7 linked regions of the Rattus norvegicus genome follow. The protein of the gene in region 1 interacts with the protein of each later gene in a biochemical or structural test. Links are inferred from orthologs where the notes say so. Each region holds a gene or a part of one and is shown in the gene's direction. Other genes may lie near its edges.

Region 1 (4,008 bases):
CCAGGATGCTGGGTTTCCCTTTAGCACCCAACTCGCCCCAACTCTTAAGTTACACCATCCCTTCTAATCAGTTAGAACAGAGAGTAGGGTGGATGCACACAGGGGCCAGAAAAGTGGGTGGGAACAGACTGAAGTCAGAAGCCAAAGGCACTGTCCAATGAGAGTGTCTGCAGTTGTGTGCTTTCCTCACTCACTGGGTTCTGAATTGCTTTTCATTGGCCAAAAAGCTAACTTTCTATCTTCTTGTTCTTTTCACTGCTGCTGGCCAGCTCCTCCCTGACTTCTCTACCTCCATACAGAGCACATTCACCAGACCTATTCGTCACATCATCCTGTTCTGTCATCACTGTCCTTCCACTGACTCAGGTCTGGCTGCCTCCCACAACCACTTTTCATAGGCCACCTGCCTCAAGGTCATCCGAGAGACAAAGTTGACACTTTGTAGCAAACCCTTCACCAACTCTCTGATCATATACAGAACTGGTTCATCTCTCATTTTATGATTAATCTAATCTTCTCTGACATCATCACAGGAGCCCCATCTCAAGTCTGAAAATGGTCCTAACTACTTCCCAAACTGGCTCTCTTGTTTTAGACCTCCACTCCTTTCCAGGTGCGTGCCTCTCTTTAGAGTGTCCGTGCAACCCTGAATCCCTGGTGATTTTCTATCTCATGCTTCATTCTCAGCTGAGGGATGCCTTTCCAGGCAAACCCATCCCAATACTGGGTCGACGTCTCCATTTAGGGTCACTTGGGGGCTCGCTCAAAGAGGGGGTTTATTTCTCTACCTGGCTTTTAACTAGAAAGACACAGAACTGTGAGGTGAGTTGAATAGCTCCCAGTCCGGGAAATAAACGCCTCTCTGTTAGGCAGTCAGCTCTGCATCTCTCCTAGTGTGCATGCTGAGTGCGTGATAGGATCTTTACTTGTAGAGCAGTCAAGCTCGCGAACATTCTGCTACAGAGCTGTGCCAGCCTGCCGGGCTTGTTTACGTGCTTGTTTGGTTAACCTTTCTGGCTCTATCTGAGTTTGTTCCATAACTTCGCAGTCTTTCTCTTAACTTTAGAAGGGAGACTACAGAACGAGCCTCTCCGCCCCTAGACCCGCCCAGTCCTGTCTCACTTCCTCTCGGGAGGCGGGCCCTCCGCGGGCACCTCCCCGCAGCTCACTTTTCTGGCTCAAGTCTGGGACGCATTTCCCGCCCTCACAGACCCAATCCAGAAATCGAAACTGAACCAGGCTCTACGCAGAAGGCGCCTGCACCCTCTGGATCTCTCTGTCAGCAACTGGATCCTGCCCTGATCCCCACGCCCACCATGCCTCCCCCAGAGGAACCCTCCGAAGACCATGAACACAGCCAAAGCCCCGCGGAGGTACTACTGGATTAGGAGATGAGGGGATGCTAGGGTTTTTTATTCGTTTACTTTGGTGGGGAAGTTGAGAACAGAGAAGGTCATTATAGAAAAGTGAGTTAGTGTCCTAAAGAGACACCAGGGTCCTGAACCCCCTGACTGGGCATGGATAGAACTGATAGCGTAGAATAAAATAGGAACAGGATGAGTTACAGAAGCCCTGGGGACAGTTGGGTTGCAACTCCTACTCCCTGAAGCCTTGCCCTTTATCTCCTATCTCTGCCATGGCCTGGAGCTAAAGGCATGTCCCAGGCATGGCAGAACTAACTATAGCACCCCCACCCCGACCCACACACAAACACTTCCAGTTTCTCAGCAGTGGTCGCACATCCCAGGAGCAATAGAACTTGGGATGTGGGAGTTGGAGGAGGATGACAGGTTACAGGCCAGCCTAGTCTACAAAGAGAGTTCAAGACTGCCGAGGGCATCACAGCAAGACCTGTTTCAAAACAAAACAGAACAAAACCTGGTCCAGATCAAAGTGCCTGCTAAAACCAACATGATCCATGCAGAGTCAGTCTCTCTCTCTCTCTCTCTCTCTCTCTCTCTCTCTCTCTCTCTCTCTCTCTCTCTCCATACATTTATTTTATGTGTATGAGGTGTTTAGGGATTTTTATTTTATTTTATCGTCTTGAACACAGGGTCTCACTTTGTAGTCTTGGCCTAGCTGGAGCTCACTGTGTAAACCAGGTTGGCCTCAAACTCCTAGAGACCACCTGTCTCTGCTTTCTGAGCTCTGGGATTAATGTATGCATCCCCAAGGTCATGGGTCTTTTCCTAAGGAAGCCTAGCTCATGGTCCTCCCGGAAGTATTGCCTCAACCCCCCCTGAAGGAACTACCCCCATCCCGCTATTCTTCATTCCTTTTTCTCTTGACAAAAGCACAAATAAGGCCACATTGCCATAACTTTTTATATTAGCGTTGTATAACTGAGGGTTAAAAATACTAGTTAACATTAACGGGTACTTCTCATGTGCCCAGTACTGTACTGAGAACTTTGGACCATTTACACACCAGCTCTACCTTTTGTATCTATGAACTAACTAGTCTTATTGTTTAGTATGACTGGAATTACACAGTATTTCTCATTTTATAGCAGGCATATTTCATTTAACACAATGTCTTCAAGGTTCATCCAGGTTGTTGAATGTATCAAAAATTTCATTCCTTTTTAAGGTTGAATAGTATTTCGTTACATTTGCAGCCACGTGTTGTTCACGTATTCCTGTGCTAATGGACACTTGGGTCACTGTGACTTTTGTGGTGGTGTTGCTAGCTAGGCACATTAGTATATAATTATATGCCTGGATATTTTTCCCAGTTCTTTTGAGTATATATGAAAAGTAGAAGTTCTGGTGGTTTAAGTCTAACTTTTTGAGGACTATCCCACCAACTGTGTTAAGCACTTTATATGAAGTTGGTACTTTTCCAGACTCGAGTTCTTTAAAGGCAAAGATGTATCCAGTCTTGTATCTCAGTGTCTACTAGTGAGTCTGAGGATAAGTAGATGGGAGTCCAGTAAATTGTGTGGCGAGAGCTGCAAGGCCTCAGTAAATGAGGAACTGGGCTGCCGATAAGCCAGGACAGGATCCAGTGACTCCCAGGAATGGAATGTGAGGTCCTACCTACTCCAGCCTCCAGCTGAAGGAATGGGTGGCCAGTGGAGGGGACAGGACTTTGGGGCTTTCTGTAGGCCTCACTTCTCTCTCCTTGGTTCACCAGCAAGCCATAAAGGAGGAATTTCAGTTTCTGCGCTGCCCGGGCTGCCAGACCCAAGCCAAGTGCCCCAAACTGCTGCCTTGCCTGCACACGCTATGCTCCGGATGCCTGGAGGCGCCCGGCCTGCAATGCCCGATCTGCCAGGCACCGGGGTCGGCCAATGCTAATGCGGAGGCCCTGGATAACGTGTTCTTCGAGAGCCTGCAGCGGCGCCTGGCGGTGTTCCGGCAGATTGTGGATGCGCAGGCTGCGTGCACTCGCTGCAAAGAGTTGGCTGACTTCTGGTGTTTCGAGTGTGAACAGCTCATGTGTGGCAAGTGCTTTGATGCACACCAGTGGTACCTCAAACACGAGGCCCGGCCCCTGGCCGAGCTCCGCGACAACTCAGTGCGCGAATTCCTCGACAGTACTCGCAAGTCCAACATCTTCTGCTCCAATACCAACCACCGCACTCCTGCGCAGACTAAGTAAGTGAGGCATCCTGGAGCTGGGGGTGGGGGGTGGGGGGGAGCTTCAGGGAACTGTCACTCAAAATGAGGTCCGCTGGCTCGTAGGCGTTTCTAATGCCCCTCTTGGGGGAAAAATGTGATGTGTAAAAACAGTACATTTTAGTATTTGTCACCACCGAACTTTAGATGTCTTAAGAGTAGACTTTGGGGTTGGGGATTTGGCTCAGTGGTAGAGCGCTTGCCTAGCAAGCGCAAGGCCCTGGGTTCGGTCCCCAGCTCCAAAAAAAAGAATAGAAAAAAAAAAAGAGTAGACTTTTCCTTTGGAGGCCCCAGGAATCTCAGTAAGCTGGATAGGGGCAGGTTAAATAGTGTTTGAAAAGTTGAAACTACAGCCTCAGGGAGTGCTATCTGAAAATGACTACATGCA
Region 2 (3,248 bases), on another chromosome or scaffold:
GTGACGTGCTTGGGTAGCACTAGTAAGGTCCCAGAGTCAAGTCCTCATACTACCAAAAACCTGTGTGGCAAGGGATTCCTTAAGAGGGACTCCTCTTTCCCCCAGGGTCCTAGTGGAGTGGCATCCCAGGAGGACCCTACTACCCCCAAGGCTGAGACCGAGGATGAGGAAGACGATGAGGAAAGTGATGATGAAGAGGAGGAAGAGGAAGAGGAGGAGGAGGAGGCCACCGAAGATGAAGATGAGGATTTAGAACAGTTGCAGGAGGATCAGGATGATGAAGAGGAGGAGGAAGGAGGTATATGCATAACCGGAGCGCCCCTGTGGTAGAGGTTCTGCTCTGTCCGACATGACCTCCTTGTTGATCCTGTCCTTCCTCCTCCTCCCTGCACAGCCCCCCGACCCCTGTTCCTCTCTCCACCCCTGTTCCTCATTCCACCCCCCCTTTTCTTTTCCAGATAATGAAGACGATAAAAGTCCCACATCCCCTTCGCCCATTTTCCGCAGAAGGAACTCAGCACCCACAGAAGGGCTCAGGTCCCCGGAGGAGCAGCAGGAGAGAGGACTGACGGGGACGCCAGCATCCCCGCTGGAAGCATCCCCGGGCCTTCCCAGCACCGATGCTGAAAGCAGCGGCGAGCAGCTCCAGGAGCGGCTCCTGGCAGGAGAGAGTCCCGTGTCCCAGCTTTCTGAGCTAGACATGGAAGCTCTGCCTGAGGAGACCATCCCTTCCCCTGAGGAAAGGGGCATTTCCTCTTCCAGGAGAAAGTCAGACAGTTCCCTCCCCACCATCTTGGAAAATGGGGCAGCTATGGTTACCTCTACGTCCTTCAATGGGCGTGTCTCTTCTCACCCTTGTCGAGATGCCAGTCCCCCAAGCAAGAGATTTCGGAAGGAAAAGAAGCAACTGGGACCTGGGCCGTTAGAAAACAGGTAACGTCGGGTGAGGAAGAAGGCAGGCAAGGAGGCAGGATTCCCTGAAGGGAACCTGGTGTCCTAGGTCTCCCTGCGGCCTCAGGCCCCTTCTGTCATTTCTCTTCTGTCCTTAGCTATGTAAAAAAGCAGACGATGGCACAGCAGGACAGTGGGTGGAAGATAAGTGTCCTGTCTACTCCGTCCTCCCCCTTGGCCTCTGTGGGTCCTGTTGCTGATTCCTCCACGAGGGTGGACTCTCCCAGCCATGAGCTGGTAACCAGCTCCCTGTGCAACCCTTCTCCATCCCTGATACTCCAGACTCCCCAGTCTCAGTCTCCCCGGCCTTGTATTTATAAGGTAAGCTGGGGGGGGTTCCCCTGTCAGTTCATTTTCACCTTCTCACTCTCTGTGGGGGCTGCACCTCCTCTTTTTTCCCCCATTCGCCAGTGGGTAGTGCGTGCATGTGTGTACAGTGACAGTTTTGGAATTTTGGTTTCTTAAAACTCAGAGCTGGATAGTGGTGACACATGCCTTTGATCCTGGGAGGCAGAGGCAGGAGGATCTCTTGAGTTTGAGGCCAGCCCGGTTTACAAAGTGAGTTCTAGGACAGCCAGGGCTACACAGATAAACTGTGTCTAAACCCCAAAACCAACCAAAAACAGTGAAAGAGCTGGCTTTCATTTTAATCCCCAGTGTGGGGATGTGGGGCTGCTCCCAACTGATCACTGTGGCTGAATGTGACTCACTTTGAGCTCAGCAGAGCTGTGGCTTTGCCAGCTACAGGCAGTTGCTTTGGTTGTGTGAACATGATGGTTAGGAATTGTGGAACTTTTCAAGAGAGCGTAGAAATGGTAGACACCACCCCACCACCACCCCACCTCCTCCAAGAGGCATGGTGTGAGCTCAGGGGTTGGTTGTGGTATGTTAGTCTTGCTCAAAGAAGAGAGAAATTAGATTCAGAGATCCCTATCTCTCCCCTCTATCCTTCTTTCCTATCTAGTGATGGGGTAGATAAAGGGGAGGAAAAAACCCACAAAGTCTCAAAGACTGACTGTCTATGTGTGTTTAGATGTATTTTGCCCGGCATAGTGGTTTATTCCTGTAGCCCCAGCATCCAGGTGGCAGAGGCATACAGATGTCTATAACTTGAGTGCCACAGTCTAGTCTACTGAATGAGCTCCAGGACAGTCAGGGTTACATAGGCCGTGTAAAACAAAAAGTGATTTATTGTATGTAACTAGGTGTTCTGTTGGTATGTATGTGTGTTACATTTGTGTCTGGTGCTCATGGAGGCCAGAAGAGGGCGCCTGATCCTCTAGATCTGGAGTTACAGAGACAGCACTAAGTAGCCATGTGAGTCTTGGATACAGAACACAGGTCTCCTGCAGAGCAGCAGTGTGTCTAGTGGCCAAGCCATCTTCAGCCTTCCATCCTGCTTTGTTTTGTTTTTGAGACAGGGTCTCTATGTATCCGACTGTTCCAGAACTCTGTATATAACAAGGCTGGCCCCAGTCTCAGAGATGCCTGCCTCTGCCTCCTGAGTGCTGGAACTAAAGGCGTGGGCCATCATGCCTGGTTCACCCTTCCTTCTCTCCTGACTTGTCTGCAGACGAGTGTGGCCACCCAGTGCGATCCCGAGGAGATCATCGTGCTCTCAGACTCTGATTAGCAGTCCCTGCATCCAGAAGGGTTTCTAATGGCTGTTAGAAGATGACGGAGCAAATGATGGACAGAGCTCCTCCCGTTTTGGTGGTGTTTCTTTTGACAAAAAATCAGATGTTTTAAGTTTTACACAGACACATTAATAAACAATGAATTTCTTTTCTTATTGTATTCTTTTCTTAAATTGTCTTTCTCCTATGACAGCTGTCACCTGGATCTGCCCTTTCTAGCCTGGACCTCTTTTTAGGGTGCCCTCATCCTTACCCTTCTTTGAGCCTCCCTCTAGGCACTTGGAAAGATAAGTGCTTCAGAAGCCTTCTTAAGCCGCTTTACTTTCTTATTTTGAGCGGTATGAGTGAAAAGGCCAATCAGGGGCTGACTCAAGGTTATTTGACCAATCCTGGCCCGGAGGAAGAGGGCGGGGCTTCAGGGGTTCTGTCATACGCTGGGAAAAGGGCTGTTAGATCCCGCGAGCGAGCTAATGTCCAGGGCTCGGGGTGGAGCCTGAGGAGCGGAAGCCAGTACTGGTCAATGGGAAAAGGTAGGCTTGCAGGATTAAAGGGGAGCGAAGGCTTCGGCCAAATCAATTCCTGAGTCCTTAGCCGCAGATGGGACCCGGTACCTTTAAGGAGGAATGAAGAGCCGGTCCTTTAAAGGGAAAGTGTTGGTGT
Region 3 (4,056 bases), on another chromosome or scaffold:
AAATGTAAACTCGTCCGTTTCCGTTTTTTGAAGTTTAAAAACAAGGCCCTTGTAGCAGAGGCTAGTCTTGGATTCCTGAACCTGTGTCTTCCACTTCTCAAGTGCTTAGATCACAGGCATACCTATGACCTATATACTTATCTAGCCTTTTAGTTGAATCAGTCTCCGCAAATTGTCTAAGCTAGACTTGAACTGTGGTCCTTCTGCCTCAGTTCCCACGAGCTGGCTGGAAATTACAGGCCCGCAGACGCCGCCCCAAGCCTTGATCTCTAGGGTTACGAAGCCTGAGCCGCCCTCCAGTCACACCGCGCCGCCTGTACCAGTTCATGAGGCTGAAGTAGTCCCGAGTGGGGTCAGGAGGCTGCAGCGCGCGGCAGTGTGCGCAGAAAAACTCATCCCCACGCCCGGCTCCCATCGCGCGGCCGCAGTTCCAGCATTGCGGCTCGATGCTCTTTCCCGAGGCGGCATTGCTGCTCAGCAGGCTCCTACCAAGGAACCTAGCCAGTCGCACCTCCCACACGCACAGCAGGGACCGAGCCCTGCAGCTCCACATTCGTAAGGCCGCCTGCTGGCCCGGGTTACCAGACCGGAGAAAAGGGAAGAAAGTGGCTCGCTGCTGATTGGCTAGGGAGCCGAGGAGGCGGGACCAGCTGCGGGAAACCAAGACGCCGAGTCCCGTTTTGGAAGCTAAACTACAACTCCCAGAAAACCTAGAGGCTGTGCGGGGGAAGCCACCTTTGGGCTTTCTTATTGGTCCTGCCGAGGAGGAAGGCCTTTTGATTGGCTGAGGGTGGAGTTTGTATCGGTAGGTTTAGCGCCACACCACTGGCTGCGGCTCTGGAGTGTTTGTAGCTCTTGGTGGTCTTGGGCGGTGAGTCATAACTGGGGAACTTTCTGTTTGAGTGTTTGAGGATTCGAATACCGTTCTCCGGTTATTTGTGCAAATGGGCCCTCCGCAGCTTCCGCTTTGTCTGCTTACTCGTGCGAGCGAGGGGGCGCTGTGCATAGGCAACCCTTTCTTTTTATCTGCCCTTCTGGGGGGAAGTTCACTTTCCTTGTTACTTGCGAGCTGAAACAGGTCTGGACACATAGGAAGGTACAACGCTGGGCTGTTTGGTGCCAGAGCGAAGTAGTTTTCATAACGAACATTATAAATGTTCATGCCAGCCCCTAGATTGCTTTTTCCCAAATACCAACTGAGAACCCAATCTTCGCTGCTAGGCTCTGCAGGAACTGAAGAGGGTACGTCAGCGTACTCAGCATACGTGTGGGGTAGGATGGCAAGGAATGGATAGGAGACAACCAAACAGCATCTGTACATGAAGGAAGATGGTCTAACGCTTTGTAAGTGGCCTCTGTAATTCTATTCATAATCCTGGGATTTTGCTGTGGTCACTTTTTTTTTTTCACCCATCATTGGGCCTGCCTTTCTTTTTAAGGTGGTCATAATGTGCCTGTTCCTTTAAACTTTTATTTAAAAAAAAAAAAAAAATCACGTGTCTGTGTCTAAGTTTGTGCAGTGCACACGGGGGCCAATAGAGGGCACTGTATCCCCCAAGAGCTGGAATTACAGGTGTTTGTGATCCTCTGGTTGTGGGTGCTGGGAATTGTACACTTTTAACTGTCTTCAGTTTGGATGTTTGACGATACGGGAATGGGATCCAGTGCTTTGCATCTGTTGGAGAAAGGCTCCACCATCTACCATTGAGTTATAGCCACATACCTAATTTTTGGGTAAAGATTCACTTTACTTTTAATTATGTTATGTGGGTGGGAATGTATACATGCTCTGGTGCTTGCAGAGGCCGAGATCTACTTCAGATCCACCGGAGTTGGCGTTACAGGCAACCTTGAGCTGCCAGACTAGGTGTAGAGAACTTACTGAACTTGGGTTTTGCAAGAATAGTATATGCTTCTTCCTGCCCAACCAATCTCTCCAGCTTCCGTTCTTTACTCTTGAGTCCTGAGCCTTGTTCCTTATTGTTGGATTCGTGCTCTCAAGGTCGGATATGAAGAGTCATCAGTCCCACGGCAGCACCTCCTCGAAGGCTCATGACAGTGCTTCCTGTTCACAGTCTCAAGGCGGCTTCAGCCAGTCCCAAGGCACCCCCTCTCAGTTGCACGACCTCTCACAGTATCAGGGTGCATCCAGTTCCTCCACCAGCACAGTGCCATCCTCCAGCCAGTCCTCCCACTCCAGCTCTGGGACCCTGAGCTCTTTAGAGACAGTGTCTACTCAGGAACTCTGTTCTATTCCTGAGGACCAAGAACCGGAAGAGCCTGGACCTACTCCTTGGGCTCGGCTATGGGCTCTTCAGGATGGATTCTCGAATCTAGGTAAGGCACTTGGTAATATAATATATAGTGCGTTGTCGAGAGAAACAGTCAGGGAAGGTGATTAGGTTGTTGTAGCAGAAACCTCAGGGCCCCTGTAACTGGCTGTGGTGGAGAGTGTCTCCTCCTGGCTGCCACTTCATACTGAGGATCAGATTTGGGCCTCTCGCATGGTAGAGAGGTTTTAGACTAAGCTATCCCTGGCTCCCTTATCTTTATTTTCAAATAGAATCTTGTTAGATTTCATAGGCTGGCCTCAAATTTTTTTTAAAATTTTCTTCAGAGAAAAAGGTCCCATGTTGTCCTGGGTTAGCCTTGAACTCACTACGTTGCTCAGCCTGGGTAATGAACTCTTGGTCTTCCTGCCTCTACTTCCCAAGTGCTGGGTTTATAGGCACACATTACCAGGCTCTACTCATTGGTGAGACAAGGAATTCTGCAGCCCAGGTAGGCTTGGGACTCACGATGTAGTTCCTTGTGACCTTGAACTTGCATTGATCTTGTCTTAGTTGGGATTACACATGCCAACCACACATGGTTCAAATTTATTCATTTGAATGTGGATTTCCAACTCATCCTGAGCTAGTTTGGAAAGATACTTGTATTAGGGTTCACTAGAGGAACAGAACTGATAGAATGATGTATGTGTATGTATGTATGTATGTATGTATGTGTATATATGTGCATATATGGGGGCTAATTAGAGTGGCTTACATTGCTGTGGTCTAGCTAATTCAACAATGGCTACCCATGGGAGGTCTAAGAATCTGGTAGTTGTTCAGTCCACAAAGCAGGATGTCTTAGCTGGTCTTCAGTATACATTAGAATCCTGTAGGAGTAGGTTCTAATGCTAGCGGAGGGATGAACTTGCCCGTAAGAGTGAGTTCAAGCTGGCAAAGAGAGAGCAAGCCTCCTTCTTTCCTGTCCTTTATATAGGCTGCCAGCAGCGGTGGTCCAGGTTAAAGGTGGATCTTCCCACCTCAAAAGATCTGGATTAGCGCAGATGCGGTGGTACCAGGAAGCAGGGGCAAAATGAGCTCTGAGTTTGAAGGTAGCCTGGGAGTTCCAGGATTGCCAGGGCAACATAGAGAAACTCTGTCTCAAAAGAAACAAACAAACAAACAAACAAAAAACCAAACAAAAAAATCCTCAACAAAACAGAACAAAGCAACCCCAAACTGGGGAAAGGGGGGTGTCTATTAGATCCGTTTATACAATATGGTCCAGGTCATCCATTAATAGTTCTCTTCATGATGGAGAGACTTAAAACCTAGTAGCTGCCCAGTGCACAAGTCTCAGCGGTGCCAGTTTGGCACCGGCAGCCTGGAGGGTTCCTAGAGAGCTGCTGATCTTCACTCTGTAGTGGAGAGAAGTGGCAAAGGAAAGTTGCAGAAATAATGAAACAGACGCACTTACCAGCGAGAAGCGCAGGCAAGCAAGCAGGCAACCCTTTCCCCCTCGGACCTTTCTGTCTTGGCTCATAGAACGTGATGCCCCACTCTGTTGTAAAGTCTCTTCCTTCCAGCTGATACTGCGAAGACCCACCCAGAGGTCTGTCCCTTAGTTTTCAGATTCAGTCAGGTGGACAGTCGAGGTTAACCATCAATCACACTTACTTTCTCATGTCCCCAGGCCGGCTGTTCTCACCTCACCTCCTGGATGAAAGGTTGTAGATGAGGTAGTGTACTCTGTTGTGTGTAGTTTCTACTATCCCACTTTAGT
Region 4 (2,614 bases), on another chromosome or scaffold:
CATGCACGACGGGAGGGCATCCGCCAACAAATTCGCTTCCAGCCCTCTTTGCAGCCTGTGGCTAGTGAGCCTGTGTGTCCAGATGTCGAGATGCCCAGCCCCTGGGCTCCAAGTGGAGACTGTGCCATGGAGTCACCTCCTCCAGCACTACCACCATGCTCTGGCCCTGCCCCTGACACTGTTGATCTGACTCTGCAGCCTGCCCCGCCCGCCAGTGAGCTTGCTCCGCCAAAAAGAGAGGGTGCCATCTCCGACAATACCAAAGCAGCCCTCAAAGCTGCTCTGCTCAAGTCCCTGAGGAGCCGGCTTCGAGGTGGTTTGTGGGCCCAGCACCTGGGTGGGTAGTGGAGTGGTAGGCAGGGATTCTGGGACAGATCTGTAAGTCCTTACCTTCCAACTTTTCTGCAGATGGGCCCAGTGCACCCTTGGAGGCCCCTGAACCTCGAAAGCCTGTGACAGCTCAGGAACGTCAGCGAGAGCGAGAAGAGAAGCGCAGGAGGCGACAAGAGAGAGCCAAGGAGAGGGAGAAGCGACGACAAGAGCGGGAGCGCAAGGAGAGGGGGGCTGGCACCTTGGGGGGCCCCTCTACTGACCCTTTGGCTGGATTGGTGCTCAGTGACAATGACCGAAGCCTGCTAGAGCGGTGGACTCGCATGGCTAGGCCTCCTGTCCCTGCACCAGCACCAGCACCAGCACCAACACCAAAACCAACACCAACACCAACACAGTCCTCTGCTCAACCCACTAGTCCTCCCAATGGCCCTGTATCTCAGTCTACTGCTCCTCTACAGCCTGCAGGCTCTATTCCTGGTCCTGCCTCCCAGCCTGTTTGCCCACCCCCTGGGCCTGTTCCCCAGCCTGCTGGCCCTGTCCCTGCCCCTCTCCAGACTGCCCCTTCCACTAGCCTTTTGGCCTCCCAGTCACTTGTGCCACCTAGTGGGTTGCCTGGTTCTGGTGCCCCAGAAGTTCTGCCTTACTTCCCATCTGGCCCACCACCTCCAGATCCTGGGCTCACCCCTCAGCCTTCTACATCAGAGTCACCTGATGTCAACCTGGTGACCCAGCAACTGTCCAAGTCTCAGGTGAGAAGGGAGAAGGCTCAGGATATCTTGACCTGGTCCTGGAAGGTGGGTGGGGTAGTTGTCCATGTTGGGTGAGAGGAAGCAGCAGAGGGAGTCTTCCCTCCGTGAGCCTGCCCCCTTGCTCATAGAAGGAACACAGAAGGCCATTGCAGAGGTGGTTGGGAGGTGGACGCTGCTTGGAAAATGTCTGCCTTAGAGACAGCCTCACCTGCGCTAGCACTGGGTGATTTCAAGGCAGTGTTGATGCTCTAGGATATCTGGGCAGACTAGTCAGAAATATCAGGGTGTGCTCTGCTGACCTCAGTTTGTCCTTCCTGGCACTTGTGTTATAACCTGTTATTGTCCCCTGCAGGTGGAGGACCCCCTGCCTCCCGTGTTCTCAGGCACTCCAAAGGGCAGTGGGGCTGGCTACGGTGTTGGCTTTGACCTGGAGGAATTCTTAAACCAATCTTTTGACATGGGTGTGGCTGATGGGCCACAGGATAGGTAAGATGGCTGGACTGAGCTTTAGTGGAGGGTCTGAATGGCTGCTTAGCCAGCCAAGGCTTAGAACACCATCCCTGTTTCTTTTCCTTACAGCCAGGCAGACTCAGCCTCACTCTCAGCCTCCCTCCTTGCTGACTGGCTTGAGGGCCACGGCATGAACCCCGCTGACATTGAGTCTCTGCAGCGTGAGATCCAGATGGACTCCCCAATGTTGCTGTCTGACCTGCCTGACCTCCAAGAACCCTGAGACCCACAGCTTGTGCCTTGCTGCCAGGACAGACCCAGCTTCAAGGTCCAGGGGTGCAGTCCAGAGGGCTGCAGCCTTGAGCCTGGCAGGTGAGGCTCAGCTTGAGTTACTCTGCAGGTTCATCTCAGACCCACCGTTCAGCCTTAAGCAGCCGCCTGAGCCACCACCGAGCCATAACAGGATGGGAGGCTCTACTCCTTCCTGCGCAGTCTTCTCCAGTGTTGTATTTTTATTACTGTTGTAATATGCATTTGTTTTGCCATCGAAATGAGGCCTGTGAAATACAAGGTTTCCTTTAATCTGACTCTGTTATTGTTGGAGTTGGGGTAAAACCCCAACAGTAGGGGAATAAGGAAAAGCCAGGTGCTCGTATTTGGAGCCAAGTAAATGTTTGTCCACAAAGCCATCAGATCCTGAAGGTTTATTGAGACCTCTACTTCCCACCACTCCCAGCCCCCAGAGTTCTCTGCTGCCTCTCTCATGACAATCCCTAGGGAAGTAGGGGACCAAATTAAGCTGCTTTGCCGTGGCTCCTTCAGAGTCGATGGGCAGCAGCTGTGGTGAGTGTGGTCTTGGTGTTGAATTTTGAGGGATGAGTGAAGGCAGATGGGTTTGGGCTCCATGATGCTCACTTAAGGGAGTTAGTTGATGAGACCAAGGTAGGAAGTATTCTGAGGAGAGCTGTGGGAGTGCTGGGGTGTGACTGTGGCCATGCCTGAGCTGATTGGCAATGCCATAGGTGCTGTATTTCTCTGTCGAGGGTAGCCCTACACAGATGGGTCTGCAGTAAGGAATTGGC
Region 5 (4,293 bases), on another chromosome or scaffold:
ACCTCAGTTCCTATCTTTAAAGTGTTTCAGTTTTTTAAAGGCGGATCCAGCTCCGTAATGTAGGACACATTAAGTGCTTAACTGTAGATAATGCAGTGACTATATTAATTCCAATTGTTAAACGTGGTGACAGCCGTCAATGACAAACTATTAAACAAGGAGAAAGGAGGCAAAATGGAGGCCAGAGATTGAGGTGCCTAGGGCAAATTCTCTAACCTTTTTGATTGCAAAAGTAGGTTACCGTGCTTTCTACTAGGAGGGTAAATTGAGTATTTTGAGAGCTTGGCTTCACGAAGTTCTCCAGAGTGCGTCATTCTCAAAGCCGAGTGATGGGAGTGAACCCTGCCTGGCCCGTGGTTTAGCGTGTCTGGGGCAGCTTAAGAAAATGGCGTTTGCTAGAGCTTCCCAAAAGCCTTCAGCTCAGTGGACTTGGGTTTTCGTGTGCCGTCACCAAGCTGTCGTCCCGCCCGCCGCCACAGGGCTTCCACCCACGGCGAGGGGGAGCCGCCCGCCCATCCCGGCAGGGGTGACATTCGAGAGGTGCTGTGTAGGAGCGGTGAAGGGAAAACTCGAACGGTCCCGGGTGACGCGACACCCTCGCCCTCGCGCGTCTCAGCGCTGACACTTGTGGAACTGCAAGGCTCCGCTAAAGCGTACCACCTAACGAGGAAAAGAAGCCTCTTGAGGAGGGCCAACATGGCGACCAACTCCACTTGGCACAGCCCGGTTCCCTCCTCATGAGGGGCGGCCCTCTAACGACTATTGGCCAAAGCTAGAGGCGGTGCCAGGCTGCTTTCGCTGCCTCATTGGCCTGAGTATCTGAGGGGGAAGCCTGTTCTCCTCTCCCCATTCCAAGTTCCAGCCTTCACCTTCTACTCGGCGTTTAATTGGCTGTTCATTCACGTCAATATGAGCCCTGTTCCGGTTCTTTTCAGTTGTTGTCCAATCAGAACTTTCTTAACTGCCCGCCTGAATTCTGATTGGTTTAGAAAGCTTGATCCTGTCCTATTCCGGCCTATTTCTTACTCTTCTCCTAAACGGACTTTGCCCAGGCATGCCCAAGATTCTGGTTGGTCGTTGTCCTGTCTTTCTTACCTAATCTCCTCCTATCCCCACCGCTCACGGAGCCCGCCTGGTGGTTGACTGGTTTCTCTGCAAGTCCATCTTCTCATCCCGCCCATCACCACTTCCCGAGTCTCTAATTGGTTGTTAAAACTGAGAGGGCGGCCTTTCTGGGCGGAAACCAGGCACGCAACTTGGTCTTACACGCCTCAGAGAGAGAGCGAGTCTTGCCATTGGGTAGACTGCCCGCCTTTCCTCTGCAAGTCCCTCCTTTCACCCTCCTTCATTGGGAGGGGCAGCAGATAAGGGGCGGGGACTAGGCCGGGCTTGTGGCGCGCTGCTCCCTCCTCCTTACCCCCCCCTCCCTGTCCGGTCCGGGTTCGCTTGCCTCGTCAGCGTCCGCGTTTTTCCCGGCCCCCCCCAACCCCCCCGGACAGGACCCCCTTGAGCTCGCCCCTCAGCTGCCACCATGAGCGGTAAGGATGAGTCCACTCCAAGCCTAGGGGTGGGAGGGGAGTGAGGGGGCGCGCGCGAGGGCCGACCGGGCGGTCCCCGCTGTGAGGGGGGGCGGGCGGGAGGCGGCGGCGGCGGCCTTGGTCCCGCCCGGGGCGGAGGGAAGGGAGGGAGAAGGGGCAGTGGCGGGGCCTCGGAGGAGGAGGGGGATGGGCTACCCGCCCCGGGGGAGGGGGCAGCCTGGCCTCGCCCGCCCCCTGCCCGCCCCGGCCACGGGGGACGGGCCTTACCCCCCACTACCCGGCCGGCCGCCTGAGGCTCCTCCTGTCGGGGGCTGGCGCCGCGGGGGCGGCCCGACCAGTGCAGGCCCCGCCTGGGCCAACCGCCTCCCCGGTCCGCCCTCCGGTCCCAGCCTGCTCCAGGCCCTCCCCCGCACCCCCGTAAATTTCCCTTCCCCCATCCGACCCGCCCTTGCCACGCCCCTAACCCCGAAACCGCCCCTTCCTTCTATGGCCCGGCCCCTCAGCCCCAAACCTGGGTTCTAAGCCCTAAACCATTTTAGCCTCTTACCTGCCCTCTTCAGATGTTTCCTCACCTCCACTTACAATTTACCCTTTCTCGGCCCCTTCCTGTTTTTGTTTACACTTAATCTGTCTCCATCTCTTTTAGTCCTAATTTTAGCCCACTTTCCATCCACCTATGTGTTGGGTCTCCTTTTCCTTCCAGGATGCTTTTTTGTTTTTCTTTTTGAGATAGGGTCTATGTGGTACTCGTAGTAACTCGAAGTTACTATGCAGACCTCAAACTTTTAGCTACCTAGTTGCCTGCCTCTTCCTCCTGAGTGCTGGGATTAGAGTGTGCCATCACTAGGCCCCACTTTTTTTTTTTTTTTTTTTTTAATTTCTGAGACACTGCTCTCAAATTCCCTCAAAAGTGCTGTTTGCATTGAGATCAGTTCTTACTCTGTAGGTCTGGCAGACCTAGAACCACCTGGCTCATCCTTCCAAGTCTTGGGATTATAGGTGTGAGTCACCATGCCTGGCTTCCAAAGCAATTTTTGAGTCATTTCTGGGGTTAATTTATGCCTGGGAAAATAGTGACCTGTCTTGGACACCATTAAGCCATGTGCCTGCTCTGCATGCCTATGGCTTTGGCATCTCAGTTTAATGTGTAACTGAGAATTTCTTTGAACTCTTGTCTCCACTTCCAAAATACTGGGATTTTAGGCCTACCACCATAACTAGCTGTATCTGACTAATACCTTTAAAAAAAAACATTTTATTAGTCATTGCTGGTGGTCAAAACGTTAATTTTAAATCTTAATGTTTTTCCCCCTCAACTTATTTGTTTTGTAATTATTTTTAGACCAAGATCACTCAATGGATGAAGTGACAGCTGTGAAGATTGAAAAAGGTGTTGGTGGCAATAACGGGGGTAGCGGGAACGGTGGTGGTGCCGCCTTTTCTCAGACTCGAAGCAGCAGCACAGGCAGTAGCAGCAGCAGTGGTGGCGGAGGAGGGCAGGTGAGTGATCAAAGATGGGGAAGGTATTGAAAGGGTATAAGTATTCTTAGAAACCTCCTTAACCAAAAACTCTGGGAGAAAGTACAGTAGGGAAGTACACACAGAAAGATAGGTGATCTAGAGGGTCCCCAAATAGGAAAGTTGGAACAGTACACAGAAGTTAGCATTTTGTTTCTGGTTTTTGCTCTTTATATGCCTGCATTGTTGCTGTTTGTCTGTTGAATACTGCCCCCTAGGCCAGCTATTGGGTGCCACTAACTCCTTTCCTCTCTTCTGGCCAGGAATCCCAGCCATCTCCTTTGGCTCTGCTGGCAGCAACCTGCAGCAGAATTGAGTCACCCAATGAGAACAGCAACAACTCCCAGGGTCCGAGTCAGTCAGGGGGCACAGGTGAACTTGACCTCACAGCCACACAACTTTCACAGGGTGCCAATGGCTGGCAGATCATCTCTTCCTCCTCTGGGGCTACCCCTACCTCAAAGGAACAGAGTGGCAACAGTACCAATGGCAGCAATGGCAGTGAGTCTTCCAAGAACCGCACAGTCTCTGGTGGGCAGTATGTTGTGGCTGCTACCCCCAACTTACAGAACCAGCAAGTTCTGACAGGTCTACCTGGAGTAATGCCTAATATTCAGTATCAAGTAATCCCACAGTTCCAGACTGTTGATGGGCAACAGCTGCAGTTTGCTGCCACTGGGGCCCAAGTGCAGCAGGATGGTTCTGGTCAAATACAGATCATACCAGGTGCAAATCAACAGATCATCACAAATAGAGGAAGTGGGGGCAACATTATTGCTGCTATGCCAAATCTACTCCAGCAAGCTGTCCCCCTCCAAGGCCTTGCTAATAATGTGCTCTCAGGACAGACTCAGTATGTGACCAATGTACCAGTGGCCCTGAATGGGAACATCACCTTGCTACCTGTCAACAGCGTTTCTGCAGCTACCCTGACTCCCAGCTCTCAGGCAGGCACGATCAGCAGCTCTGGATCCCAGGAGAGTGGCTCACAGCCTGTCACCTCAGGGACTGCCATCAGTTCTGCCAGCTTGGTGTCATCACAAGCCAGTTCCAGCTCCTTTTTCACCAATGCCAACAGCTATTCAACAACTACCACCACCAGCAACATGGGAATTATGAACTTTACCAGCAGCGGATCATCAGGGACTAGTTCTCAAGGCCAGACATCCCAGAGAGTTGGTGGGCTGCAAGGGTCTGATTCTCTAAACATCCAGCAGAACCAGACATCAGGAGGATC
Region 6 (4,300 bases), on another chromosome or scaffold:
AAATTTCTGCTTGTTAGAAGTTGTTATGAACATAATTTCATGAACATGAAGTTTCTGTTGGGAGCAGCGACATTCGTAAAGAAAAGCAAAGTCTTGAAACTTTAAAACTGCATTGGTGTACGTAACAAAGTAAACAAAAGAAAAATTTAAAACATTGTTAAGGGTTGGGGATATAACTCAGTTGGTAGAGTGCTTATTTAGCACTCCGAAGCCCCGAGTTCCATCCCTCTCAGCAAAAAAGGGCTCTCCCCGCCCCCACTACCAGCACGTGCCAGTAATCCCAGTACTTTGACAGGGAGGTGGAGGCAGGAGGATCAACAGTTCAAGACCATCCTCCCCTACATCTTAAGTTCAAAGCCACCGTGCGCTACAGGAGACCCAGGGTCAAGAAAAAAAATTGTTAAAACAGCAGCGGAGGCGGAGGCAGCCGGTGCTTAGAAGGCACGCGCTTGCTTCTAGATTCCGAAGCGTTTTCAAAGCTGGTTACAGTCCTTACCACAGCACACCCTTGTGAGGTAAGTGTATTATCATCTTTGGTTCATAAATGAAAAAGCTGAGGCGCTGAGTGATTAAGTCACTCGCCTAAGGAGCATGAGTCAACGTCAAGAGTCATAGTTGACCCGGCTTAACGACTCCTGACCCTCAGTCCAGGGCTGAGTCAGCGGAGCCCGGAGTGGCTTCCCTGGCTGGCACCTGGACGTAGGCTATTTCCGTTCACGTCCAAGCAGAATACTGGAACCGATTGGACAGAACTTTCCAAACTTTTTACGTCCAGCAAGATTCACCCCTGACGCCTTCATCTCAGGACTGGGAACAGGAAAAGCCGACGCGTGCACTCCCCTTCCCCAAGCGTGTGAGTGGGTACCGTGGGCAAGCCCGCCCACCCGCTTGGGCAGCGATGGCAGCAAGGGACCACCCGCGTTAGTGGACCGGGGACGGGGGAACGCAGACCTCATCAACGACTCTCCATCGCCGCCTCTTTCTGAAACCAAGAGAAAATGGTGGGAGGCGAAAAGAAAACTAAATAAAAACACAAGCAACTTGTCTTAGGACCTCAGCTAAGCAAATGAAGCCTTCTTGCGTGTGCTGAGCCTGCAGTTCTCAACCTTCTAGGAAAGATGGGAGGACTGGGCGACAGAGGGCACAGCAGGAATGCCCAGCAGTGAGAGCAACCGGAGCTCTGCCCGCTGCACCGCAGAGGCCTAAAACCTACTCTGCAGGAAGTGCGGGCGGCGCTGGGAGCCGCGCACCCTCGCCAGCGACCACGTGATCACTTTTTTTTTTTTTTGGGAGAAAAAACTTCCTTGCCTTAAGAGAAAAAAAAAAAAAAAAAAAGAGACTCCACTTCCCAGAAGCCTCTTGTTCCCCAAGCAGCTGCAGTCTTGCGCAGGCGCCGCCAGGGCCAAACGGACACGTCCGTCACGTGGGCAGGAGCCGGCCAATCCGGTTTGAATCTCATTTTTTTCCTCTCGCCCCCCCTTCAGGAGCGGTTGTGCGATCAGATCGATCTAAGATGGCGACTGTGGAACCGGTGAGTATTGCCTTCGGCCCCCACCCCCGAGGTCCCCGCGCTCTGGCTTCCTCCGCTCAGGGACTGTCCGCAGGACGGCGTTCCCGGCGCGCACAGCGCCTCCGGCCGCGTCCTGCCCCTTTCCCACCGGCCTGACCTTCCGCGGGCAGCCTCGGCGCCGGGAGGCTGGCGGCGGCAGCGTGGAGCGCACACGCCGTGTGGGGGCCCGGGCACCGGGTCGGTGGGGGAGGGGCGCCGCGCGGCCCTGCGGTGCGGCCGGCGGAGGGCGGCTCGGGCCGCCAGCGCGGGATCGGTCTGGGGTCCCGGTGGGCGTGGGGCGGGCGGCTCCTAGCGGGCACCGTGGTTGGCGGGGCGGGTGGGCGGCGAGCTGGCCTGAAAGAGTCAGAGGGAGCCTGAGGCAGCGGCGCCTCGCCGTCGCCCGCGCCCCGCCGCCGGGGTCCTCGTGCGGGCCGCGCTCTCAAGCTGTGGAGGAGGGTGGGTTGGCGGAGCCGGTGGGCGCGCGGGGCCGGGCGGGCGGGGCGCGGCAAGAAGGGGAGCGCGTCCCGCGGGGAGCTGGGGGCTGTGGCGTTGAGTGGAGAGCACGCCCAGGGGTCGTGTCGCGCACCTCCGGGGGCCGGGGAAGGGGGCCGGCCGAGAAGGTGATCACATTGTCCTGGCCCCTCCACGCCGGGACTGGGCTGTCATGGAGGAGGGAAGGGGGAGGAGCGAGGCCTACAGTTCGCTCCAGCGGGTCGGCTGGCCGTAGACCTGCATTTCACACGCGCCGGGCTTCCATTCATTCATCCTCCCGGCGCAGTGCGCACGCCTCCGAGGACCGTGTAGATTCTTCTACTCTTACGCGAGGAGATCGTCTGGGAGATACTCAAGGAACACTAATTTTGGAAATAGGAACTTTGGAGATTATCTTTTCTTTAATTAAAGGAAGGAAAATTAAGCGTGGGGGCAGCGGCGCGAGCCAGGGCTTGAGTGTGAAGGTCAGAGGGCAGCTTTTGGAGTCCTGAGAATCGAAATTCAGGAGCCTTTTCCGAACCATCACTTAAGCGCCTCAACATCTGCTTTTCCACTGATGATTCCTCCTCACTCTACACTGCTTCCCTCTTAATTAAAGCGCTATTTTGAAGTTAATTGAAGCAAGATGCACAGAGAGCATCACGTAGGTAAACCCGGTAGCCAGAAGGTGGTGATTTTTTTTGTTGTTGTTTTTGTTGTGGTTTGGGTTTGCCGGCAGCTGGCTCACTGGTCTTCCATCCCAGATTTTTAAAGAATGTCACACCTGTGTGATAAAAATCTCAGGTGCAAAAAGGCATAGACTAGCAACCAGAAACCTTTGTATACCACCTTTGCCAGATATTTTTAAAACTCACCCATAGACTGAATAATTTTGATTAGTTTGCAAAACAGCCTTATCTTGGCAGAATTCAAGACTACTTTTTTGTGGGTGGAGGCATGATTTACTTGTTCCTTATTGACATCAGCTTTCCTGCATTTTGCAAAGCTGCCTAATAAGTTGTTAGTGAAATTAACTAACTTTAGAATATCAATGTAAGAACAGGAGGGGAAGCATTTAAATTTAACTTAAACTCTTGACAAGTTCTGCCGTCTACTTCTGACTGAATCTTCTACCTTTCTCTACCAGTATTAGAGGAAAATATTACAGGTAATAATAGAGGCAAAACTAAAAAGACCTAAGTAATAAAACAGCAGTGTGAACTATGACTCTCAGTTCCATTTAAGTCTTGGATTGTGCTAAAGCCACAATGTAGTCATTGGATTTTGTTCTGAGTCAGCTCAGAGTTGCTGATACCTTTTGGGTGGTTACCAAGTGATATTTAGAATACAAAGTTATATAAAATGCGGTCTGTGCTTTGTGAGCTCTTATGGAGCCTAACTGCCAGTGTCAGGCTCAGAGGTGAGATACTCTTCCTACTGATGACCCTGTTGATGTGCATAGTGTGTGTAAATTTAAGGACAAGAGAAGCCTAGAAGCCTAACATGTGAAGGGTGGAACTTGGGTTGAAACTAGTTGGAGACAGTGTGCAAAGTGACACTGAGGTGCTCATTTTCTGTTTACTGTTAGCACACCCTTGCTTAGAGGCTAGTCATACAGTATTTTAATATTTGTAAGATTTTTTTTTGGAGCTGGGCGGTGGCTGCGGGCTACTTTCATCCCAGCACTAGGGAGACAGAGGCATTTCTTTGAGTTTGAGCCCAGCTTGTTCTACAGAGCTAGTTCCAGGATTCCCTCCAAACTGAAAAGATTTGGTTTGGATGCTTGATTTGTAGCTCAGGACCTGGTGCATTTACTAAGTTTATTCTAGCACTAAACTACACCAGTACGTTGTTTTTGAAGTACTTTATTCAGAGGCTTGGCAGAAAGGTTGTATGTAGAAGCCCACGTTGTCTGCTGTCCTGTGCAGGGCAGACCTTAGAGGTATCCCCATGGCTTAGAGCACACTAGTACTTTTTAAAAACAGATGATTTAGTCTACTATTGGATTACAGTTGAAGCTTGTAAAAATTAAAAATCTTATTTGGTCATTGCTATTTTTATTTAGCTTATGAGCTTTTGTGAGTTTTTTGTTTGTTTTGGTAGAGTATTTAATTGTAAACACTTAGAACACTGGTTCTCAACCTGTGGGGTGTGACCCTTTCGGGGGGGGGGGTGTCTAAGGACTGAGCTGCCTAAGACCACCAGAAAATACAGATATTTACATTGATTCATAACAATAGCAAAATTAGTTAGAAAGTAGCAGTGAAAATGGTTTTATTG
Region 7 (3,500 bases), on another chromosome or scaffold:
ATGGCCGGGCAGCTGTGTAAGCTTGAGAGGCCCTGGCTAGGTCAAGAACACACAGTAATTCCTAGGGTAGTCATGGCTTTGCAGGTAAAATGGGCAGCCTGAGCTAAGTCTAAGTAGCAGGAACTCTAGGGATGTCTGCTTGAGGCCTGTCTGAGGTGGTAACAGGAGTGTGTTCTAGCAAGAATCTTGCTCTTGTCCAGAGGTAATTGAAGGTTCCACCTCAGAGTGAAGACTTTGAGCTGAAAACAAAAGACTAGGCTAGTGCTAGTCTTGCTGGGAGATTTTACCCACAAGACCAATAGAAGCCTGAAGCTGGGGTCAAAAAAGGAACCTCTGGGATTGGGGATTTAGCTCAGTGGTAGAGCGCTTGCCTAGCAAGCGCAAGGCCCTGGGTTCGGTCCCCAGCTCCAGAAAAAAAAGAGAAAAGAAAAAACGGAACCTCTGAGAAGCAATTCGGTATGAAACACCTATTGCCCTACTAGATTCTTGTTCATGAGGGGTCGTGTCCCTGTGATGCACACACCCCAAAATCCCAGTGCTCTGTAGGTTTGGGAGTCTCTGATTACTGTTTCATGTGATTTTTTTTTAAGTAATATTAAAAAGGATATAGAGGTTTAAAAAAAAAAAACCAAAAACCCAAGCAGGTGGTATCCAGGTTGGAGTCACAGTCAAAACAACAGGCTGCGGTCCTAGGTGAAGATGCTCCTTCACCCATGCTGAATGGAGTCCAAGTGTGCCAAGATGGTCCCTGGCAGAGGCTGCTGGCCTGACCTGGATCTTGCCTTCGTTCCCATAGGGTCATAGGGCAGATCTCTGAACTGTGAGCTGATAAGCTGCAGGCCGATAGTCTGGCCTCTTGGGGTAGTCTGCCTATGGAAGTTTGCCATGCTCTGCCCTATGGTGCGGACTTTTCTCACTAGTACATTTAGGAGTAGTGATTGTCCTCCTGTTGGACCTGATTCTAAGCCGGGGTCTCAGGGCCCTTGTTCCTGAACCCTCCTCTAACTCCCAGGCTAGTACTCTACCTTTGTGGTGTTTTATATGGTGCTTGGTGAACCAGCAAGACACATCCTAGCCTCAGATGAGTGTGTGAGGTACCTGCGAACCCCTACCTGTCCTGAGAGTTTGACTGTGGAGTGGGTGCTAAGTCTCGCTGATGCTCAATGCCTGCCAGGGAGGGGACAGCCTTTTTGCAGGCTATTCTCACTGTACCTCCCAGCAGTTGAGTTTGTAGAGCACAAGAGAGACAGCACTGGTGCTCTACCTGCCTGCCTGGAGGTGTTCTGAGGACTGGTCAAAAGTGCAATGCTCGCACTTGCTCCAAGGGCAGCTTGACCAGCTGGGCTCCACCTCATTTACCTGCTTCTTGGTGACAGCCCTCTCTGGCTGGGGTGGGATGTGGCTTAGAAGATGTGTGTGTGCTTTACCTAACCCTCCCTCTGTGGATTCCGTTCCAGGGACTTTGAATATGTCGGGGATTGCCCTCAGCCGACTTGCGCAGGAGAGGAAAGCCTGGAGGAAGGACCACCCTTTTGTAAGGAGCAGCCTGTGTCTGGTCACAGGAGGGGCTTTCCGTTGACTTGGTATACTCAGCCTGTGGCCACTGGGTGAGAGCCAGGCTTGTTGTCTTGAGCTGGTTTGTTTTGTGACTTCTTTCTCAGGGCTTTGTGGCTGTCCCAACAAAGAACCCTGATGGCACGATGAACCTGATGAACTGGGAGTGTGCTATCCCTGGAAAGAAGGGGGTAAGGGTGACCACTGGCTTTGTACCTACTAACTTAAGAGGTTCAAGGGAGCTGAACTACTATAGGGACCTGAGTACATGGATTTGTGACCACAGCTAGCCACAGGTCACAGCTCTCCCCAGGATAAGGAGTGGCCTGTGGGGTAGGGAGGCTTGGACCCTGGCAAATCATTGGATTGGTGACCAGCCTTGAGGTGAGGAGCTGGTGAAGGTCGTAAAGTGTCCACAGAGAGCACAGGCTGTGTTTCTTTACACACATTGACCTCAGTGCATCCAGTTGTCTACTCTTTTCCAGCCTATGTGAGAGGGAGGGTCTCCTTTAACTTCAGACATTGTCCAAACTTGGGCCTCCGGGTTCAGCTTAGTATCTGAGCAAAACCGTAGTTTGGGTTCATCTGTACAGGCTCTGTTGTGAGTGTGAGGTGGGTCTTTGACGTGCCAGGGTGTGCTTGTCTCTCAAGTCACGTTGGGGCATGGGCACTGTAGTGCTTCCATCACATGAGCTGAGAGTAGGAAAACCGTCTGGTGGCGAGTGGTGTGCTCTCCCCACCTTGATAGATCTGAGGTGCTGGCTTGAATAGTGCAGGTACGAGCTGCTGGGCTTAGCTTTTGTTTGCTGAGCTTTTTGGTGTCTCAGACACCCAAGAACTGTGGATCCTAAGCTTTCCAGCAACTGCCAAGCTCCTCATAGGCATGGTGGGGGTCTTCTTTGGTCCTAGGGGGACAGTAATAGTGTAGAGAACAGGCCCGAAGGACCCAGGTTTAAGGAAACTTCTCTTGGCTCACCTTGGCAAGTGAGCCACAGGTCTAACTCTGGTTCCTTCCCCACAGACTCCGTGGGAAGGAGGCTTGTTCAAGCTACGGATGCTTTTCAAAGATGACTATCCGTCCTCACCACCAAAATGTAAGTTGTGCAGAGAGCCGGCAGTCCACTTCCCAGTGCCACCCTTTGGGAGCCATGTCTATGGATGCTTGGTCTAGCAGACAGGTGTCAGTGCTGGGATAAAGTCAGTACTGCTGAGCCGGCTTGGATGACAAGCCAGGGTAGAGGCGCATATAATTAGAGTGGTCTCTAGTCCCAACCAATCGGGATGTACCACACGAGGCAGAGGGAGAGTTGTGTCAGGCTTAAGCTCCTGGGTGCTTTTGTGCCCACAGGTGCCACAGGGGAGTAGGAGAACAGGGGTCTGTAAGTTCCCAGTAGATTAGTTAGCATACATCAGGTGCTGAGTTCAATTCAAAGCACTAAAGGAGAGCGAAGAATCTCACTCATTCCCGTCTGTTGTGTTCTGTTGGATGCCCCACATCCCAGTAAGAGGCTGTGCTTGTGGCCTTCAGACCTGTTGTTAGAAGAGAAAGCTGAACTGATCTCAGTGCAGCACAACTTGCTTGGGTGTGCAGTGCCCACCACCACCATTCTGCCCAGGGTAAGGCCAGGTCTGAGCTGGTTTGTAAATAGAGATTTGCCTGCTGCAGGGTCCCCCAGGAGTGCTTAAACATGGCTTATTGGGAACCACTGGATGGAATCTTACCTGCTGTTTGGGATTTTCTTGTCTGTCTGAGTTCTTTTTGCCGTACTGTTGGTGATTCATTCATTCTTTCTTTCTTTCTTTTTTCTTTTTTTTTTCTTTTTTCTTTTTTTCTTTTCTTTTTTTTTTTTTCGGAGCTGGGGACTGAACCCAGGGCCTTGCGCTTGCTAGGCAAGCGCTCTACCACTGAGCCAAATCCCCAACCCTGTGATTCATTCTTTTAATTG

Evidence for each region.
Region 2: the proteins of Pml (region 1) and Daxx form a complex in vitro, tested with the Homo sapiens proteins (2 studies listed by BioGRID, with this or other methods). The link is inferred for Rattus norvegicus from reciprocal best matches to the Homo sapiens genes PML and DAXX.
Region 3: the proteins of Pml (region 1) and Chek2 form a complex in vitro, tested with the Homo sapiens proteins (2 studies listed by BioGRID, with this or other methods). The link is inferred for Rattus norvegicus from reciprocal best matches to the Homo sapiens genes PML and CHEK2.
Region 4: the proteins of Pml (region 1) and Mapk7 form a complex in vitro, tested with the Homo sapiens proteins (2 studies listed by BioGRID and IntAct, with this or other methods). The link is inferred for Rattus norvegicus from reciprocal best matches to the Homo sapiens genes PML and MAPK7.
Region 5: the proteins of Pml (region 1) and Sp1 form a complex in vitro, tested with the Homo sapiens proteins (2 studies listed by BioGRID, with this or other methods). The link is inferred for Rattus norvegicus from reciprocal best matches to the Homo sapiens genes PML and SP1.
Region 6: the proteins of Pml (region 1) and Eif4e form a complex in vitro, tested with the Homo sapiens proteins (4 studies listed by BioGRID and IntAct). The link is inferred for Rattus norvegicus from reciprocal best matches to the Homo sapiens genes PML and EIF4E.
Region 7: of the proteins of Pml (region 1) and Ube2i, one has a biochemical effect on the other in vitro, tested with the Homo sapiens proteins (13 studies listed by BioGRID, with this or other methods). The link is inferred for Rattus norvegicus from reciprocal best matches to the Homo sapiens genes PML and UBE2I.

Annotation. Positions count from the first base shown.
Region 1 is NC_086026.1:67,552,089-67,556,096, reverse strand, and holds the start of Pml (PML nuclear body scaffold), read left to right. Parts: upstream 1-1,208; 5' UTR 1,209-1,316; coding exon 1,317-1,373; intron 1,374-3,135; coding exon 3,136-3,599; intron 3,600-4,008.
Region 2 is NC_086038.1:4,971,473-4,974,720, reverse strand, and holds the end of Daxx (death domain-associated protein 6), read left to right. Parts: intron 1-105; coding exon 106-298; intron 299-458; coding exon 459-933; intron 934-1,049; coding exon 1,050-1,272; intron 1,273-2,372; coding exon of another isoform or gene 2,373-2,456; exon of another isoform or gene 2,457-2,524; coding exon 2,525-2,584; 3' UTR 2,585-2,748; downstream 2,749-3,248. UniProt on the Homo sapiens protein: Transcription corepressor known to repress transcriptional potential of several sumoylated transcription factors. Down-regulates basal and activated transcription.
Region 3 is NC_086030.1:51,477,868-51,481,923, reverse strand, and holds the start of Chek2 (serine/threonine-protein kinase Chk2), read left to right. Parts: upstream 1-1,256; 5' UTR 1,257-1,344; intron 1,345-2,002; 5' UTR 2,003-2,009; coding exon 2,010-2,337; intron 2,338-4,056. Other genes in the region: iron-sulfur cluster co-chaperone protein HscB, read right to left, coding at 321-553. UniProt on the Homo sapiens protein: Serine/threonine-protein kinase which is required for checkpoint-mediated cell cycle arrest, activation of DNA repair and apoptosis in response to the presence of DNA double-strand breaks.
Region 4 is NC_086028.1:46,669,221-46,671,834, reverse strand, and holds the end of Mapk7 (mitogen-activated protein kinase 7), read left to right. Parts: coding exon 1-313; intron 314-408; coding exon 409-1,082; intron 1,083-1,434; coding exon 1,435-1,568; intron 1,569-1,661; coding exon 1,662-1,815; 3' UTR 1,816-2,114; downstream 2,115-2,614. UniProt on the Homo sapiens protein: Plays a role in various cellular processes such as proliferation, differentiation and cell survival. The upstream activator of MAPK7 is the MAPK kinase MAP2K5.
Region 5 is NC_086025.1:135,418,557-135,422,849, forward strand, and holds the start of Sp1 (transcription factor Sp1), read left to right. Parts: upstream 1-1,493; 5' UTR 1,494-1,531; coding exon 1,532-1,538; intron 1,539-1,682; exon of another isoform or gene 1,683-2,539; intron 2,540-2,880; coding exon 2,881-3,038; intron 3,039-3,319; coding exon 3,320-4,293. UniProt on the Homo sapiens protein: Transcription factor that can activate or repress transcription in response to physiological and pathological stimuli.
Region 6 is NC_086020.1:229,739,253-229,743,552, forward strand, and holds the start of Eif4e (eukaryotic translation initiation factor 4E), read left to right. Parts: upstream 1-1,500; 5' UTR 1,501-1,513; coding exon 1,514-1,531; intron 1,532-1,933; exon of another isoform or gene 1,934-2,005; intron 2,006-4,300. UniProt on the Homo sapiens protein: Acts in the cytoplasm to initiate and regulate protein synthesis and is required in the nucleus for export of a subset of mRNAs from the nucleus to the cytoplasm which promotes processes such as RNA capping, processing and splicing.
Region 7 is NC_086028.1:14,791,755-14,795,254, reverse strand, and holds part of Ube2i (SUMO-conjugating enzyme UBC9), read left to right. Parts: intron 1-1,457; coding exon of another isoform or gene 1,458-1,468; coding exon 1,469-1,534; intron 1,535-1,661; coding exon 1,662-1,745; intron 1,746-2,575; coding exon 2,576-2,648; intron 2,649-3,500. UniProt on the Homo sapiens protein: Accepts the ubiquitin-like proteins SUMO1, SUMO2, SUMO3, SUMO4 and SUMO1P1/SUMO5 from the UBLE1A-UBLE1B E1 complex and catalyzes their covalent attachment to other proteins with the help of an E3 ligase such as RANBP2, CBX4 and ZNF451.